Linked DNA regions of Oreochromis niloticus. The main gene of each other region encodes a partner of the protein of the gene in region 2 in a complex. Links are inferred from orthologs where the notes say so. Each region holds a gene or a part of one and is shown on either strand. Other genes may lie near its edges.

Region 1 (10,128 bases), on a different chromosome or scaffold from region 2:
GTAACAGTAACATGTACACAGCTTCTTACAGTTTAACGCACAGAATAAAAGCCTCTGTGCCCTCAGGAACAACAGGACGGGCAACCTCTGAAACAGTAAAGACGGCTGTACCTGATATCTGTCAGATTAAATCTGCGACACAGCTCCCTCTTCAGTCTATTCAGTTCTTCTCTCCGAGGAAGACTTGCATCGTGTTTCTTTGTGGCTTCAGGTTCGTTGTTTCTCAACCACACACTGACAAAAAAGACAAAGAGGTTTTTCCCTTTAAATCATGTACAAGTCATTACATATAATTGCTGTAGTTATGAAAAACTGTCATCACCATCTTAGTAAAATGTATTTATGTTGTTATATATGTCACATTATTCTGAAGTCTCCCTCTCTAGAACTGTGTGAACTATAAATAAACTCAAATTCTCACAAAGTACTTTCACATTATTTCATTTAAATATAAGAGACCATGTATGCACACATTAGCATTAGCATGAACCCTTGCTAACCACTAAATAAAAATAAAATCCACAGCAAACACAGCACTGTGTCTACATGATCACAAACAGCAGTTTCTGGGTTTAGAAGGTTTAAACACTTCCTACAGTTGAGATGTGACAACCACAACCAGAGCGTAGGCTACCTGAGCGTAGGCTACCTGAGCGTAGGCTACCTGAGCGTAGGCTACCTGAGCGTAGGCTACCTGAGTGTAGGCTCGGCTCTCTGGGCCTGCTGCAGCTCCTGCTCGGGGTCTTTGAAGCCCGTGAAGGTGTAATAGCTTTTATCCCATTTGATGGTTCTGTAGAAAGGCTTCCCCGTCTCAGTCGGACTTTTACTTGCTGCTTTACTCGCCGTTAGTCCTTTCATGTGCTCCATGGGCAGGCTGCAGCTCGTCAAAACATCCATCACTGTGCTCAAAACATCGTTTGTGTGCAGAGTAAAGCTGACTGAGCGGAAGCCTGAGAAGCAAACAGGAGCAATTTTACGTTAAAAAAACAACAACAAAAACACTCACTGGTACTTTGAGCATTTTTAAAAGAAATGCACCTGAGCTGAGGAGTTCTGGCTGCACCTTACTGCTGTACTTTGTGTTCCTTAGATAAAAGGTGAGCTTCATGGGTTGAACTGAACGTGAGCCAGGCTTCTGCAAGTTCTCCAGATAGCCATTCAGCCTCTTTAGCGAGTTCTCATTCACCTCCTGTAACACAGAGGTACCAGAACTTACATCATGGCAGCTCGTACCAACAAACGTCTGACACAGTGTTGTATGTACACAGATTATAAAGTCATATTTAATGATAATATCACATCATATTACTTTATATTGTATATGGATCACAGAGCACATAGATGATAAGTATACTGAACACAGTGGATTGTCTGCTGTGCCTATAAGGCGTCACACACATGTAAACCTGACAGTTAAGACAGTTTTTGAACTGTTACTTTACGATCATATGTTGCCAATAACACATATTTGGATTTATGTCATGACAGATATGAGACCTACCCGTTCTTTGGGATATTTACCGAAGAAGTCTGGGTGGACTGCAAAATAAAAGGGCCTGAGAGCATTTACAGCCTCTGCCCCTGACAGAGCTCTCTGTTGTACAGCATGTGTGGCAACATGCTTCCGCTGCAGCCTGCACAGAGAAAGACAGACGTTACAGAAAAGAGGCTAATTTACATCATTAAACCCTGCTCTCAATAACTGACATAGACGTAACTCCAGCTGGCTGCAACAATGGGCTTTTTGTTCAAACTGAGTAAATACTGTCGCCCACTTTCACTGTTATCTATGATACTCCCTAACTAGAAGTTATCCAAGTTTACTTCAGTTAACCAAGTCAGACAGTTGTAATGAAAACATAAACACAGTGCCAGCTGTTTATCAGCAGCTTATGCAGTAACCATGGTAACCACGGACATTGAGTGGCTGGATCAACGCAGGCCAGACTTTGGGAAGTACCCCTCATGTCTCTTTGAAACTAAAAGACAGTCATTTATCAGCCGTGTGGTCAGTATTACAGCAGGGTCCTGCTGAAAAACTGCAAAACAAACGAAACGTGTTGATGATGAAAATAGCAGGTCTGCCTCTAAAGTGTTTCCTGATGGGAATCAGTAACAAAGTCATAGACACAAGTTTATATTTCTCATGTTGGATAAAAACAATTGCACATTTATGATGTTGAAACAGGACACAGACACTGTAACTGCTGACCTCATATCAAACGTAGACTGAGCCCATGTTTGATGTTTTTATATCCAACCTTTACTCTCAAACCTTTAAACAGCAGCGAGTCTCAGCTGAGAGAATAAGTGTTCATATGATGGGGGAATATGATTTATGAGCAGCGTGCAGTCTGCTGTACTGAAATCACTGAATGAAGAGCAAACAGTGTGTCGCACTGTCACGGGAAGATGCGTGTATAAATCTGGTGATTTATTAAATGTATAAATGTTATTATACTTCATTCTAATCTGCTGCTGAGTCTTTTACGCTGATGGAAGTACAGATAACAGAGCACACACAGCATGAACACCTGTTCAACCAATCACATTTATTTCACTTTGACCAGCCATGAAATGAAGCGTTCATCTCTTCCTCTTTTTATAACAGTGTTGCATTTGACTGGTATATTTTTATGTTCTTGTTTTGTTTTGTTTGCTGCAAACAGAAACAAAAAGTCAAGGAAAAAAGAAATTACACGCTATTAAAAAACCTGTTCACACACAGAGGTCTGAGCCATTTTCTAGAGAACTGATTGGTCAGAAGTTGGCAAATTCATACCTGCTGATTTCTTGATTTCTTACCTACTCTAGACTGTTACCATGGTGATTTACCTGGAGAAAAGTTTACCACCTTTGCAGTACAGAAAACCCTGGGTTAACCCTGAAGTTACCCAGATAAACCAAAACCTGCTTCACATGATAGGCATCAGCTCTCTGCCACAGCAAACTAAGGGTAAGAGAAATCAGAGTAATGTCTTTAACAAAGGACAGACCCACCCAGAGTCATCACAATATCACAAAAGAGAGAGATAATGGCATGGAGTCGGACAGCAGTACCTGACTAGACAGACAGATCGATAATGCAGCGACAGAAAAAGAGTTCTAAATAATATTAATGTTGTTAATGTTATTATTTTCAAAGTTCGAAATAAATTTAGTTTTAAAATATTTGAGAGTAGATTAGAATGTTTTCTGGTCCTAAACATGAAGTGTCAGAATTTCCCCAGCAATGTTACTGGGGAATAATCGGCTGGGGAATGCTGGGGGCGCTACTCGACCTGCAGAGACCAGAGATGACCATGTGACTGTCTTTAAGCTTGTTTTGCCCTGGTGTGTGTGTCTGTATCCAGACTGTAAAATACATTCAGCTCTCCTCAAACGTGTCATTGTCACTGCTCACCCCCCCATCCCGCTTCTCTATGTGACACATCCGTACGCTATTCTCACCTTAATATAAATAAAAAAAATTATTTTGAGTGCACTGTTTGTCAACAATGCATTCTTACAGGGGGTACATCATGTGTAATAAGAGAATGACACAGGGGAAAGTACTGAACACGTGCATGGAAAGTAGAGACAGCAGCTGAACTCAGTGATCAGAAAGCAGCTCTGCAATTTGCAGAGAACCTACTTTTAATGTTAAACTTTTTGCACTAAATTATATGAAAGACTGCATTAAATGTAAGTTATTACAGATATGTCGATCCCAACAAAGGAAAATGAAACCCAAAAAGCCTTTTTAGGAACCTGATGTCTTTCGGAGTGCAGGTTACGAGACGATCATGAACGGAGACCCATATTGTACCGTACATAACGATGTAGGTGCGCATTTTCAAACGCAGATGGGTGACCGCAGGAACACATCAAAGTAAAGATTCTGTTACATTTTCTGTCCATTGTTGAAAAACCAAAAGTCAAACTCAAAGTCATTTTGACACTTACGTTTCTATATGCCTTCAACATGCGCATATTAGACTTTTTAAAAGGAGTTTTAAAACTGTCATTATGCTCCAGCCTGCACGTTATCATGTGATCGTACGTGTTGGGACAGTTTTACCTGATGGTGCATCGCAGAAGGGGGATTGCAGACATTGCTGACGCTGCTGGTCCAGAGATCAGCCTGTAATCACGGCCTTTTCAGTCGGTCCATCTGCATTTCCTTTATCAAAGTACTTCCATGGTTTGTTGCACTGGATCTGGCAGCAGCCTGGTACAGCTCAGCAGGGACTAAATCAGAGTAACTTCAGTTCGTCAAAAGAAAATCAACAGAAACAGATACCTAACGGTGTTAGCTAACTCTAATTTGTATTTACTCCTTTGAATCCCATGCTATCAAGTTATCTAAAAATATTAACAAATAGCAAACATTTGAAAACAGAACAACCCCAGATTAAAATGTCTCTGTAGTTTCCTTTGTGATTTCTAATCAATGACAGCAACAAAACATGGTTCCACTTTGCTAGCCAGGCTAGCACATAAAGTTAGCATTGCTATGAGGTGGTGCTACGCCGCAAACAAAATCCAATAAACGACTTACAGTGTGGTTGGTTGTTAAATTGTGACTGACAACAAAGTGACCTGTAACATCCCTGCCGTTAAGGTAGGACCGTTTTAGTTAGCGGCTGTGTGTTCTTCTTCTGTGATTGCTGGTACCAGCCAGCCGCACTATTGCGCCACCAGGCGGACTGGAGTGTCAGGTTAGGTTGAAGCAACCAGAGTTTTCTACTTCTGGCTCCACATGTTTGGAAAGGAAAACCATCCAAGCAATCTTTGAATGGTGAATGTTTTGTTCATGTATTTTTGTATTATGGTTTAATATAAAAATGTCTGTATTATTACTTGAACAATTTCTGTGAGATTAAAGATTGATGAATAAATACCAACAAGGTCCAGAGTAATTAGGTGAGTCAGCATGATTTTACTGTTAGGCCTATATAGTTTTTTTTTTAATTTTTTCCAGTCTTTGAAGATTAGATACCTAGGTATATGTCAGATACTTATAATACAATCTTGAGATCCTTTCCTAGGGGATTCAACTCCCACTCAATCTTGATCCAAGTGACCTCATTAATTCACAGGATGGCAGACAGGATCGCTCTCTTGCTACAAGTGTCATCCACTCAATCGCACACACGTTCAAACAGCACTTCATGCACTATGATTGACATTTACTGGTTTGTTTCCTATTATTGTCCTGCTGCATAATCTGAATGCACTTAAGCTTCAGGGCATGAAATGATAGCTGGACATTCTCCTGTAGAGAACAGAATCCATGGTTTCGTGTATTACAGAAAGTCTCCCAGATCCCAAAGCAGCAAAGTAGCCCTAGAACGCCACACTACCACTGCCAAATCTTGCAACAAGTTCAACTTTTGTGTCATGGGTGCACAGAATATCTTCCCAAAATTGCTGTTTTTGGTTGGCACTGGTTTTCACCTTGAACTCTCCAGTGGATGCCATTTGTGCCCAGTCTCTTTCTTAGGTTTACCCCTGTTTTCTCCATTGGTGCATAATGGCTGACAGCGTGGTTCACTGGAGTAAAATGGCTTTAAAACCTTTTTTATACTCATAGATGTCAGTGGCTTTGTTTCTCATCTCTTCTTGAGTTTCTTTAAAGAGTCTGACAGCCACCAACATTCTCCATGTGTGGCAGCCTGTCATTCATTGGCTTTAACTTATCCTTACAGGCCATTAGATCTTGGTAGGAGAATAATTGTGGTAAAAACTAATATTTTGCTCAGACTGTTTGTTCCATTCTTTGCCTCTTCAGATCTGATAAACAGTTTTGTGAATGGGCCAAAGTGATATATTTATCTAGAATGGTACATTCCCTAGAGTGAAATATGAAACTCTGCGGTTACCAAGAGACAAGGGAGGGATGGGTTCACCCAGCATTAAAGACTACTATAGGGTGGGCCATTTATATGGATACACCGTAATAACATGGGAATGGTTGGTGATATTAAAGTCCTGTTTGTGGCACATTAGTATATGTGAGGGGGCAAACTCCCCAAGATGGGTGGTGACCATGGTGGCCATTTAGAAGTCGGCCATCTTGGATACAACTTTTGTTTTTTCAATAGGAAGAGGGCCATGTGACACATCAAACTTATTGGTAATGTCAAAAGAAAAACAATGGTGTGCTTGGTTTCAACGTAACTTTATTCTTTCATGAGTTATTTACAAGTTTCTGACCACTTATAAAATGTGTTCAATGTGCTGCCCATTGTGTTGGATTGTCAATGCAACCCTCTTCTCCCACTCTTCACACACTGATAGCAACACCGCAGGAGAAATGCCAGCACAGGCATCCGGTATCCGTAGTTTCAGGTGCTGCACATCTCGTATCTTCACACCATAGACAATTGCCTTCAGATGACCCCAAAGATAAAAGTCTAAGGGGGTCAGATCGGGAGACCTTGGGGGCCATTCAACTGGCCCACGACGACCAATCCACTTTCCAGGAAACTGTTCATCTAGGAATGCTCGGACCTGGCACCCATAATGTGGTGGTGCACCATCTTGCTGGAAAAACTCAGGGAACGTGCCAGCTTCAGTGCATAAAGAGGGAAACACATCATCATGTAGCAGTTTCAAATATCCAGTGGCCTTGAGGTTTCCATTGATGAAGAATGGACCCACTATCGTTGTACCCCACATACCACACCAAACCATCACTTTTGTTGTTCCAACAGTCTTGGAGGGATCCATCCAATGTGGGTTAGTGTCAGACCAATAGCAGTGGTTTTGTTTGTTAACTTCACCATTCACATAAAAGTTTGCCTCATCACTGAACAAAATCTTCAGCGTGAACTGAGGGTCCTGTTCCAATTTTTGTTTTACCCCTTCTGCAAATTCTGTGCGCCGATCTGGGTCATCCTCGTTGAGATGCTGCAGTAGCTGGAGTTTGTAAGGGTGCCATTTGTGAGTAGCTAATATCCGCCGAAGGGATGTTCGACTAATGCCACTCTCCAGTGACATGCAGCGAGTGCTATGCTATGGGCTCTTGCTGAATGAAGCGAGGACAGCCACTGATGTTTCTTCATTAGTGACAGTTTTCTTGCGTCCACATTTTGGCAAATCCAACACTGAACCAGTTTCACGAAACTTAGCAAGCAGTTTGCTAACTGTAGCATGGGAGATGGGTGGTCTCGTAGGGTGTCTTGCATTGAAATCTGCTGCAATGACCCGGTTACTGCGTTCACCAGATATCAACACAATTTCGATCCGCTCCTCACGGGGCGATCGTGGCTCAAGAGTTGGGAGTTCGCCTTGTAATCGGAGCCCCCGGCTCGGACAGTCTCGGTCGTTGTGTCCTTGGGCAAGACACTTCACCCGTTGCCTACTGGTGGTGGTCAGAGGGCCCGATGGCGCCAGTGTCCGGTAGCCTCGCCTCTGTCAGTGCGCCCGAAGTGGCTACAGTTGCATACCTGTGGTGTGAAGGTGGATGACTGGTGTGAAAGCGCTTTGGGGTCCTTAGGGACTAGTAAAAGCGCTATATAAATACAGGCCATTTACCATTTACGTGGTCTTCGACATGTCAATGTCTGTGAACAAAGAGAAACTTGTAAATAACTCATGAAAGAATAAAGTTACGTTGAAACCAAGCACACCATTGTTTTTCTTGTGACATTACCAATAAGTTTGATGTGTCACATGGCCCTCTTCCTATTGAAAAAACAAAAGTTGTATCCAAGATATGGCCGACTTCTAAATGGCCACCATGGTCACCACCCATCTTGAGGAGTTTGCCCCCTCACATATACTAATGTGCCACAAACAGGACTTTAATATCTCCAACCATTCCCATTTTATTACGGTGTATCCATATAAATGGCCCACCTTGTATTTAGCAGCACAAATAAAACCACGTATACTTTGGTGTAATCAGGATTATGAAGCAAAGTGGAAAGCCATAGTGTTGGCTTTAATAACATGGCAAAGTTTGTTGGATTGCCAAACAATGTCCAGAGCCAGCGGGCTGGGTTTTCTATAGATATGTGGTCTGGACCAGTGAAACAGCTTATACTTTCAAAACATAGTACAAATGTAACCCCTGGCCTACTTACTTCTTCAAATCCAACAAAAGTGGTGTCAAATGTTTGTGCTGCACTCATTTTAAAAATATTAATAAAAGAAAATTTCTAAAGAAATTTAAAAGCCCCCCCCCCCCACACACACACACTTCTTTCAATGTTACATAAAATAGACTTAACACTTTAGTGTAGTTTCTAATATTTTATTTCAGAATGGCAACAAAAATGTAACTGTAATGTTTCCACAGTGGGTAGCTTCCTGCTGCAACACTAAAGGTGTTGTGGACAGTTTACCTGATAAGAATGCCTTTGACAAAACCAGCATTATCTAACATACTTTAAGTTTAGTCTTTAGTCTTTTAGTTCGTCTGTTAATGCAAAATCAATTTAAGAGGCAAAGGTTTGCTAGTGCTAGATGTGTCAAGCAAAATTAATTATTTGTTTCACTTCCATTCATTACATTTACCTGAACGAACACAAGCAAAGTGAAGTTGAAACGATATTGAAAAGCACAGACATTTTCTCCTTGACTGAGGTGCATCACCCTTTGCTGTGCTTGTAATAGATGTAGTGAAAAGTGACCATGCTGGTGGCCACTGACAGGCAAGGTAGCAATTTTAATAAGCACACAACAACTGCTTATTGATATGTGACAAATCTGATAAATCACTGATAGAAACCTAAGGAGGTTGGAAAGAAAAGCGTCTGGACTTCTTAAAGTTGCTTGAAGACGTTTCATCTCTCATCCGAGAAGCTTCTTCAGTTCTAGGGTCAAATGGTGGAGAGTCCCAGATTTAAGCCCTGTGGGAGTGTCCCCAAGAGGGTCATGGACCCCCTATTGATCCTCTACCTAATCACATGAGCCAAGGTGTGAAAACGGGTGGTCACAATCAGCCAGGGTTTCGGGTGAGCTCACTGTGAAACCTGGCCCCACCCTATCATGTGATTTCCTGAGGTCAGATGGCCCAGAATGTAAGTGGGCGTTAAGGCGTCTGGGAAGGATCTCAAAACTGGATTATAGATGGCAGACAGTTGGTGTCGTAAGCCCCGCCCTCTGTTCAAAGATGGTCGTTCACAGTGGACATAGATGCTTCTTTCACTCCTCTTTCAAACCATCTGTCCTCTCTGTCCAAAATGTGAACATTGGCATCCTCGAAAGAGTGACCTTTGTCCTTTAGATGCAGATGGACTGCTGAGTCTTGTCCCGTCTTGTCAGAAGTCCATCTGCATCTAAAGCACAAAGGTCTCTGTAATCTATTGTCCATCTCATGACATGATTCAAGATTAACAATGAAAACTTTTAGATAAAACATTGAGAAATCAGTCTGAGTGGCATTTATTCCAACACATTAACAGCAGAATTCTGAGAAGGTTGCAATATGAGCACACTGAAGTATCACAGCTCAAGACACACAAGCTGTCAGTGGTTTACTGGGTTGTTGTAGTTTTTTTTTAACCACAAGATGGGGCTCATTATCTATTCATCCATTTCCCAGCCGACTCCTATCACAAGGCTCGCACACAAACACATACTTCTACCCAGAGCCAATCTGTTGAGGTTTAAGTCTAAGGAGCACCGTGGGCAGCTTAGTAATTAACCTGCCTAGAAAAATGTGAAGTTGGTCGTGTAGGTAACAAAAATACCCGAAACAAAAACAAATATAGTTGCCACAAAAGATCCATGCTAAAACAAAACTTCACTTATATAGATGTTATTAGGTGATTTGAAAAAGTTCCATGGTTAGACAAAGCCATCAGACTCGAGGCATCTGGCACAACATAGCTTCTGCAGTCAGTCTACCTCTGATTTTTAAAGCTCAGATTATACCTCGTTTTCACATCTGATAGTGGTTAAAGGGGGATTACTCCACACAAGGAGCTGGCATGGATAAACACTCTAAGTGGGAGAGACAGTCAGTCTTTGTTATGTTTTAACACTGGGATTTATTTTTCATCCTACACTGTTGGAAGCCAGGAATAACTTTTTTTGGAGGTTTGTACAAATTGAAATGATAAAGGACTTTGTTATAATTCACTCCAGATTTGATGGGTGTTCTAAATAAAGCTGTTGTGGATTGTTGTTTTTTAA
Region 2 (10,181 bases):
AAAATGCATTTCTTTGATGATTGGGTTAGTCAGTGAGAGGTAGGAGGATTGTATTAAGATACAGGGGAATCCTTAAAGGATTGCATTTTGTCACATTTTGACAAAAGTGTACAGATACAACTCAACAAAGCTAACATTTACTTCTCCTTCCGCAGGATTAGCATTTAAATATGGTAACATTATGCTCTTGTGTCGTAATTTGTGACTGAGAAAAAGGAAAGCTGAAAAAGAATTTTCTGCTGCTCCTTACACATCGTGTGTGAGGCCTTTCACTTGGGAGGCAAATGTGTAAACCACTACAGTTATGGAGCCTTAAACAGCTGCCTACCAAGCAGAATGCAGGAAACACAGACAGCTATTGATGAACACAAAAGAGCATTTAACACATAAAGTGACAGATATTTAAAAAAATAATAATAAACTAAAAGAGAGTAAAAGTGAAATTGACAATTATATGATAAATCTTCCAGAGTTGCATTTGAATGTTTTGGAATAAGAACATACAGTCACTCTCTCATTTTTTATGTATAAACCTCAGTTTTTCTCCGGTCTGGAGACGTGAACAGGAACGACTTACTGTATTTCAGAATTCATAAAAGGGTCCTCCTTTCCCATAAAGCCCTAATTTTCACTTTGTCCTTACTCTTGCAGAGCTGTGGCTGACCTAAAACAAGAAGGTTTTAACATGTGGAAATATGGAAAAGTCAATTGACATATTTGTAAAAGAAAACAGTGTCTTGCGCACACACATACATTATTACTTCTATTTCAAGCACTAAGCAGAGTCTCTTTTATATATGTTTACAAATATTTGTGTGTAATGTCTAAATCACAAAATTTTACACAGTTTTTCCAGGACATTGATTCAACACACAGGCAGGAATGAAATTTGAAATGGACTGGTTTGGAAATAGTGTTTTTTTGCACTACTTAAGCACTCGAAGCGCTTTATACAGCTTGCCTCATTTACCCAAGGACTTTTTTTGATGCCAAAGTGCCTTTTTATTGAACATTTATACTCCAATGAACGGATTGGAGGGCAGCTTACCTACTTGAGGATACTTTGGCATGGAGAAGCCAGATTTCAAAAAAACAAACCTTCTCATTAGTAGATGACCTGGTCTACTTCCCGAGCAACAGCCACCCCTCAATGTTAGTGAGTAAAACCAAAATATTAGGTAGAATATCAAATCCTTTAGTTTTACAATATCTCCCAGAAATATCTAGTGTCGTTTGCTGTATTTTCCCTTAATGATCTAACTTTCTGTCCTCGAGGGGGCATCAACTTCTTCAAGCTTGACATTTAGACTGACTACAGGATTAAAGTACATACATGATGATTGAATGTGAGAAGAAAAATACTGAAGATTAAAGACAGGCTTATACAGGCTGTCAGATAAAGCACTGAGCTGGTCTGTTTTAGGACATATTCACAATATTGTCAAATTACTTTAGCTCACTTAACAAATAGTATAGAACATGATAGCTCCTAGTTTGATCCTTCAAATATCACATACACAGTAAAGCTTAAATGATTGGTTGAATCATCGCAGGACGATGACTGGAAAGATCAAATCATGGAAGTGGTTTTCAAAGAAAACTATAAAAATTAGCTGGTTCCAGCTTGTCACCTAATGGAGAAAAGAAACCAATTATTATGAAATATTAAAATATACATATATAATTTTATAAAGTGAACTAAAGAAAAATGTATTAGAAAGATAACTTTGTGCTTCTTACAACACTAAGATATCAAACCTTAGGTACTAAGTGGTGATGTAAAATACACCATCTACTAGGGTAAATGTATGGGCATACCGGCAATTCACAATGTAATGCTTCTCACCATCCATGCTGATCATGATGTAAAATAAAGAAATATGCTTTCAAATACTTGTTGCATTGAATCATAAAAGTTAGAAGAAGTATTAAAAACAAAAACACATTAAGCACCTAAATTTGGAGAGACGCATGGTGAACTTGCCAAGCCAAGGCTGTGATTTAGTGTTTCACATTTTGCATGAGTAGTGTTTTGTATCAAAAGGTAAAAACTTTTTGAGCCAGTTCAACACATTATTAACAGTCATTCAAAACAGTCTTTTATTAATTACTAATTATTTACATTACAAAATGAAACGGGGAATTATGCATCATCAGACAATCTTGAGGTTGTTTTTGTTTTTTAAACCATTAGTATCAGTGAAACTCCACAGCTATGGCTTTAGGACAAACCCATGAATTTCCCTTCCTGGTCAAACCAAATGTCAGTGCTATCAGTACTTTAATTGGATTGGTTACTTAGAATTAGTGTCCTCTTTGAAAGCTGTACCTTCTTACTTAATAACTAGGTTTGGGCCTGGGTGTTAATCTTAGGCTTCACCTCCAAAGACAATTTAAAGTGTATTGATAGATCCTTATCATTTCTTCTTCTGTGTTCATGTGAGCAAGTATGATATGAATGATGATGATGGTGATGACTGTATGTGAAACAAAGCTTTTATCATATACTTTTTGTATTTATTATATGATGATGATCAATATTAAAGTGTGATCAGATGTAATCAGTGTGTAAACTAATAAAACTGTCCACTCTACTATTCCGTCTTATCTCAACTCACAACCTTAGAAAGAACCCTGTATTGTTTTAGTTTTCCTTGTGTTTTTAGTGCTTTAAAATGTTACATGAATAAATGTCAGTATTTCCTCTAAACAGAATATTACTCAGAATATTCCAGCAAGTATTTTTTAGAAGGCAAAGTTTGAAGGGTCAGTAAAAACATCTCAACCACCACAGTGATTACAGGAAAGCTCGAAAAGTAGATTTACTCATGAACTGTGCTATGGAATGTTTTAAAGGTGTAAAGTTACTTCTCTTTTGTTACATTTCAGGGTAAATGTCTTACTTTACTGCATTTATAGATTAACAAATTTACAGACAAGGATAGAAAATGTAATCTGTTGTTAAACATTATACATAATTTTATTTTGCTGGAATTCTTACTCTACCCTTTCTCTTCCACTTATCCAATTTAGGGTCACAGGGGGGCTGAAGCCTATCACAGTTGCCATAGGGCAAGAGGCTAGGTACAACCCTAGTCTGACTCAGGGTCAACACAGAGAGACAGACAACAATTCACAACTATGGGTAATTTGGAAAATAACCTAACCTCACTAAAAGTATGTCTTTGGACTATCGAAGACAGCCGGAGAACCCAGAGAGAACCTATGCAAACCCGTGGCCAGACAGTGGATTCTAATCCAAGACCTTGCTGTGAGGTGGCAGTGCTAACTACTGTTTTAACATGCCATGGATTTCATATGTAAGGTTTGTAAGGTTTTTTAGCTTACAGAGTTAAGTTCCCTAATTTGGTTGCTTTTGTAAATTGGAGCTAAATAAATAAACCAAATTGAAATATACTAAATTTAGGGAGATAAGACTCACCTTTTGCAAATACCTTAATGTCAGATATCAAAGTAGAACGGATTATAGTGAAATACAGTAGAAAAATATTTAAAATTGCAGTAAAAAAAAGTAGTAATTCACTAGCTGGGATCACATCCTCAGATAGGTTTGCTAACATTTTTGTAGATAGTGGCAGATGGCTTGAACATAAATTGAGGCTGTGGTTTTTGGGAAGGCCTCAGAGGGGGACTGGTGGCAGCTCCTGGGTCAGGCAGATCCCTATAAGAAGTGAATTATTTGAAAAAGGGAGAGAGGGTGGGTACGAATCTAAAGCAGACAATAGCAACCTCGTTGTACAGGATACAGTAACCATCGCAGTGGCAGATATTCAAGAAAGGTTTGCAATATATAACTTGTTAGGGGTGAGGGGAGGATGACAATACAAAAGACACACTATGGAAGAAAACCAGAGTTTTAGAAGGATTTTGAATTCAAGAATGAAAATAAGCTAATATGGGATAAATATGGTCTCATTTTCTAGTACTCTTGCACGAGCATCATTATGATTATTATGATTAGCAGAAGTAGTAGTAGTAGTAATAATAGTAGTATTTGCAATGTTGACTGGTTCTGAGAGATCTGGGAGGCTGCTGTTCTCTGCTCTTAGGTACACCAGCCACTTAGCATTGATAATGTGTAATGCCTGTTTTCCTCAATGCTCTTCTAGCATTGCTCAATTTCAGCTCAGGATCTGCCCTTGTATTGTTATTCGCTTGTAGCTGAAAGCACAACCTGGGATCTTTGCATGGATCTTTGGAAAACAGGCCATTTCTCCTCTTGGCTTCTGCTATGGAAATCTTGTTGCACTTTCTTATTCATCTAGGACCAGGTTTTTCAACCTGTTATACTGAAAAATAAGAAAAAGACTAGCATACCATAAAAAAACAAACAACAAAAAAACATCACAAACAGCAGTACAGAACCAGGAACATGGGATCTGTCAGCCTGAACAGAGACAGAGACACACATGCCTACACACAAGAAAATGATATTGCCAGCATCCACGGAATAGTACCAAGAAACTGACAAAAGTCATGTTTAATTAAAGACTAGATAAGGAGAATATTTTTACGATTTTTAAGGCTTTGCCATTTTATTTAGTATTTTTTTTTCTCTTTACAAACAAATTGAGGAACAGCAATACTGATAAATTACCAATTTGTGTGCAAAATGTTCATTTGATTTATGCCCAGATTTGATTGTTAATGACGTCCATTGTTTTAAAGTACAGAGCCAAACAAAGGAAGAATTCTTCAGAGAAGAGGCAGCCAGCTGATATTTTGTCTGCAGTAGCTTCAGCAAGGCTGAAGATAGATGATTTTTTTTATGAAAGGAAAGTTTAAAGGGCAAAACTGCTGTTAAAAGATTCTTGACTTTATTACCTATTATGTTTGCAATTCATTTAATTAAATAAAGCTTTCATTTAATGTAAAACATCTTCTGGTAGTGGTGTAAATACATTTATTCTATTTTGAATGCAGTGTGGTATTACTATGTTAATGATTTGTGCTGTGAGATCCAAGTTTACATAATGAAGTGGCTGAAAATCTGTGTCACCACCACCTGAAGTATGTGTGAATGTCTTTCTTGTCTCCTCTGTGTCTGCCTTTAGTGTTGCAAAGACTTCATTAGCATCATGAATTAAGCTGTGTTGCCAAAACACCAATTACATGAATACATATTAACATCAAAGTCAGTGCCAGCAGGGTGCAGAGGTATCGGAGCCTGTCTGAGAACAAGTTAATAAGCTGAGGGATAAAAATGCTTTTTACCTAAGGTCTGCTTTGAAGTACTTTGATTATATACTGTGAGCCATAGGAATTAATCATTTCAGATTTTAATACAGGTATATTTTTCTTCATGAAACAAGATGTGATAATTAGAAATTCTGCTTTTTCACCAACCAGACTGACAACATTGTGACCCCAATAGACTCAACCGGTGATGGTATCAGCCTTCTACACCAACACATAACTTTTAACACCTCTTTTTTTCTTAGAGTTTATATCATCTCTTGAGTGTTTGTATGTGTACTCGTGCGGTTTAATCAGTAATGAAATTTTCTGTAATCAGAAAAATATATATTTCTATGTAATAAAAAAACACCACAAAAAAAATCTTATTTGGTTTTGTTTAAATGTGACTACATTCCAGATGTAGTTATCCATTCATTACATCTCTGCCCACATTAGGCGCATTTTAAACATGCATATCATTTGAGTTGAACAGACAAAACTAACCCTGCATTCAGTTCAGAACACCAGAGAACGAAAAAGTTTTCTTTGTTGCTTACTTAAACAAGTAATATCACTACCGGGACGCTTTTCAGCACCGGGGACAAGACAGCGCTCGCGCGCGCGACACACACGCGCACACAGACTTTCGTCTACGACAGGACCTCTGACTTCCACTCATTTACGACACGGAAGGCTCCGGGGAAGGCGTCGAAAGCACCTACGAGACCGCGGTAAAGGTAACAAAGTCGATGCAAATGAAGTGTTATCCTAAAAGCTTTATTTAACGAGAAACTTTACTTTGAACCTGATTAATGCTTCGTAGGGGCCCCATGCGTGATGGTACGGTTTTTGAAGTGTTCTTGCTTTGTTTTCGGTATTGTATTTATTTTATGCAGATTTTAAGGTTACAAGTCTTTTTGTCTGTGCTTCAGGCTATATGCCGTCCCCCAGTGAACTTCATTTTACTAAGATTCTTTTTTCCTGGAAAGACCCGTTAGATGTGTTGTTAACCCGCACCGGCGTTATTCTTTGTGGGTTTTCATAACTAAATTCCTCTGTGTTGTCTTACTGCTTGTGCTCATAGAAACATTCGATTAGAGCGCCACAAAATGCTGAAAAGTAATGACTAGAAATACACCAAAAAACATACATTCTCCTTTTCAGTAAAGTCTGCTAAAGGTTAAAGTCCAGGTTTTACGAACTACTGAGGTGTCTTTAACAGTAAAAGCTATTATTTTCGATCTGCTTTGTTGCTTGCTGAAATAAACTGCAACATTTTTCGACAGTTAGCGTTTGGCCTACATTTAATAGGCGCATGTGTATATAGTGGGTGAATGGTGTCCCTAGAGACTATAAATTATAATATTGAAAACCATATCTAAATCTAAACCATGAATGTAATAGCTAAATGCTGAGTCTTAAAACTTATAATTAAGTCATAGACAGTATAAACATGGGGCACATCTTGGTGAGCAGGGGCCTGGTTGCAAAAGTACTTCTTGTTGTTCACCTTTTAAATATTGGTAATACCAAGATTCAGGGGTAAGCAAATCACAAGTTGTTAGCCACTTTTCTGTGCTTGTTAGCAACCTTCTGCTTCTTTAGCATGTAATGATAGACTAGGACTCCTTCCCCAGTCATTTCTGAAATAACTGAGGCCTCAGTCCATATGCTGCCTACGGCACCTATCACATTTTCAGAATTTTGGTATGAAAGGGAAAAAAGAAAGGAAAAAAAAAGAATTTTGGTATGAAAATGTATTGTAAATATCAGTTCTGGTGCAAAATGCATACCTTAATTTACAACTAGCACTTCTTCACATACAGGACACAAATTCACAAGTACTGAGAAACTGAATAAAACATTGTTTTGGCCTTACCATGTGTTTTTTCACAAAAATATATTTAATATTAGCCTTATTAGGTTTGCTCAATTACAAAATCTATATCTGGAATCTGCAGGATCCATTGGGCAGTTGGGAGAAGAGAAGGGGCAGTGTCTGCAGATAAGCCAATCTCTCCGGTTCAGCAAGCCAGACGGATTTGAAGAGGGGCAGCTCCTGATTAGCCTGTAGGATCTCCTTGTCCAGGAGAGTGATCCTGCAGAACTGTGACTCATCTGCCGCTATGCACTGCTTAAGGACTACGGCTGTAAGGCTTTGGCCTTTAACGGCTGTACAAATGACCCAGAGCCTATCAAAGCCTCTACCATTGGCAGTTAAACAGGGCTTAAGGAGATCTCAGCCCACAAGGCACCTGAACACACCTCTAGCTAGTGAACCCTTTCTCAATGGCACCAGCTCTAACTATGTGGAGGAGATGTACTACTCATGGCTAGAGAATCCAAAGAGTGTGCATAAGGTACAGCACATCCACCTTTAATTCTGTGTTTGATGTTGTTGTCATTTCTGCAGTTATATATGTTTAAAATATGAAACTGCATGTAAAACCAACCAAGTGTTTTGGTCGGCAGAGATGACCTAATAATGGATATATAACAGGGAAAAATAACTCCACCTCCATCAATTACAGACATAAAATGCAGCCTCCACATAAATCAACGCATATTTCAACCCAGTCATTATTGGTAATTAATAAACAGGTATTAGGTTGCCTGGTGTGGGACCAAAGTTTGATGGTGATTAACCAATAACTGAAAAGGTGACTATGACACAGTGTTTAAATTTGTATAAAGGAGAATACATTTATGATGAAATTTAAAAAGATAAACAGAAACAGATTTTCAAAATAAATGGGGATGTTGGTGGTGGCTGGAGGGGGGTCGAAAAATGGAAAATAATAATAAATAAGTATATATTGACAACTAAATACACATGTAAAGAAAGAAAGAAAGAAAGTTTGACAATTTTACTAAAACTTGAAAATACCAAATTTCCACACATGAACATCGAGACACAAAATTGTCCACATCTGTACTTCTTGACATGTTGCACAGTGACAATCCACTGAAGATACATTATTAGTGGAAATACTGGAATTTAGGTGATGGAGCTGCCTGAATAGAGTGTAAAGGACTTATGACACACTCAGTATGAATGCAATAGACAACTGCCTGCACTATTCTCACTTAGGCTATTCTCACTTAGACGTCACACACTACGAGACTATGCACTATGTCTCCAGTCTAAACGATGAAATGCAAAAAACTGTAGTTCATGGAGTGGCAACTTGAAGCTGCCTGCATAAATTACACAGTTCACATAGAATTCCATGTTTAAGTGGGCAGCTGAGTTTTTGTTTTATAACTCATCCATTTGGATAAAGGTTTACCATTAGCAACATTGGCAGTTGAAAGACAAGTAATAATAATAATAATAATAATACATTTTATTTGAAAGCGCTTTTCAAAACACTCAAGGTCGCTGTACACAGTAGAGTAAAAAGCAACATAAAAGCAAAGAGTTTACACAATCATAAAACATAAACAAATTTAAAATAGCAAAGTGGAGAGGTTATGTGGGATAAGCTATTTTGAACAAGTGGGTTTTGAGTTGGGACTTAAAGAGAGAGAAGGTAGAGATATTTCTTAAATCAGGAGGTAGGGAATTCCAGAGTTGTGGAGCAGAGCAGCTGAAAGCCCTGCTCCCCATGGTGACAAGACGGGGGGAGGGGACGGAGAGTGAAAGGGAAGAAGAAGATCTGAGACAACGAGATGGGGAGGTGATGTTAACCAGATCAGAGAGATATGGAGGAGAGAGATGATGAATAGCTTTAAATGCGTACAAGAGTATTTTGAAATTGATACGATACTTGACCGGGAGCCAATGAAGCTGCTGCAGAACAGGAGTGATGTGATGGACAGAAGGGGTCCTGGTGATGATACGGGCAGCAGAATTCTGGATGCGTTGAAGCTTATGGATGGATTTTTGAGTAAGACCAAAAAGAAGTGAATTACAATAATCAATCCGGGAAGTAACAAGGCTGTGGACAAGAATGGCAGTGGCATGTGGGGTGAGAAAAGGACGGAGACGATTAATGTTGCGCAATTGAAAATATGCAGACCGAGTGACATTATTAATGTGTGAATTGAAAGATAGAGTACTGTCGAGGATGACACCCAAACTTTTCACAGAGGAAGAAATGGAGACCGGCGAGTTATTGATAGTAATAGAGAAACTGTTGGTTCTGGATAATGTTGATTTAGTGCCTACTAAGAGGAGTTCGGATTTATTACTATTGAGTTTAAGAAGATTAGAAGAGAACCATGAATTTAGTTCAGCTAAGCAGAGGGTGAGGGAGGATGGGGGAAGAGCAGAATCAGGTTTAGTGGACAGATAAAGCTGGGTGTCATCGGCATAACAGTGAAAATGGATATTGTATTTACGGAAAATATGTCCAAGCGGTAGAAGGTAGATAATAAAAAGAAGGGGCCCCAGGACAGATCCCTGGGGCACGCCAGTGGTCAGAGGAAAGGGCTGAGAAGTAAAGGATTTGAGTTGAATGAACTGAGTGTGAGGTAGTTGTAGCCTATAGCTGTCTGCTAGGCCTTACTGCATCTAATTTGGTCCTGCAGTAAGGTACAGATTATCCAGAAGTTTGTGCTTCCATTTTGGTCGGTACAATTGTAGTTACATAACACTAATAAGCAGATATGCGGGGCTGGAGCCATAGTTTCTGAACTTGTTTGGTAGACTTACATGGTACTGTACCCTTGCTTTCCTCTCTGACTCTCCTCCAAAAAACAGTATAGCAGCAACCAAAATGCTTACACTGATAAATAAAATGTGGATTCCCCTAGTCAGCCTAGGGGAATCACTGTACGCTATGCACTAGGTACATGGTGAAAAGCTTGTAATGTAATGACTTGCCTAAATTGCCAAAAGTAGTCACTTGTCTGCCCTCAAACGGATATAAACTTGAGGTACAATTCATTCTTAATCTCTACAGGAGTATGAGTAACTTGCTTTCCAAAAGTTATGTGTTTTCATTTTACCTATGCTGATTTTTGTAAATCTTGCCTCA

What was found.
Region 1: the proteins of ogdhb (region 2) and tcaim are in contact, whole or in part, in a cryo-EM structure (PDB 8I0K), measured with the Homo sapiens proteins. The link is inferred for Oreochromis niloticus from reciprocal best matches to the Homo sapiens genes OGDH and TCAIM. Residues at the interface, in NP_001425937.1 of Homo sapiens: Gly301, Tyr304, Arg323, Tyr354, Arg356, Ile358, Arg364, Asn365, Lys387, Glu391, Tyr394, Cys395, Gly396, Thr398, Glu399, Lys401, Lys402, Lys561, Met602, Pro605, Glu667, Gly668, Ile669, Asn709, Met734, Ala735, Ser736, Pro737, Asn738, Gln772; in NP_001269842.1 of Homo sapiens: Glu214, Gln234, Arg235, Ser236, Trp237, Gly238, His241, Ser244, His247, Ser248, Arg251, Gln255, Asp272, Arg273, Thr286, Met287, Asp288, Val289, His290, His291, Glu331, Leu332, Gln333, Pro334, Val335, Arg375, Tyr376, Glu441, Ser443, His473.

The regions. Positions count from the first base shown.
Region 1 is NC_031976.2:1,619,479-1,629,606, forward strand, and holds the start of tcaim (T-cell activation inhibitor, mitochondrial), read right to left. Parts: upstream 4,700-10,128; 5' UTR 4,541-4,699; intron 4,517-4,540; exon of another isoform or gene 4,231-4,516; 5' UTR 4,096-4,230; coding exon 4,061-4,095; intron 1,635-4,060; coding exon 1,502-1,634; intron 1,190-1,501; coding exon 1,039-1,189; intron 951-1,038; coding exon 695-950; intron 235-694; coding exon 112-234; intron 1-111. UniProt on the Homo sapiens protein: May regulate T-cell apoptosis.
Region 2 is NC_031972.2:9,755,136-9,765,316, forward strand, and holds the start of ogdhb (2-oxoglutarate dehydrogenase, mitochondrial), read left to right. Parts: upstream 1-5,800; 5' UTR 5,801-5,936; intron 5,937-7,160; 5' UTR 7,161-7,325; coding exon 7,326-7,559; intron 7,560-10,181. UniProt on the Homo sapiens protein: 2-oxoglutarate dehydrogenase (E1o) component of the 2-oxoglutarate dehydrogenase complex (OGDHC). Participates in the first step, rate limiting for the overall conversion of 2-oxoglutarate to succinyl-CoA and CO(2) catalyzed by the whole OGDHC.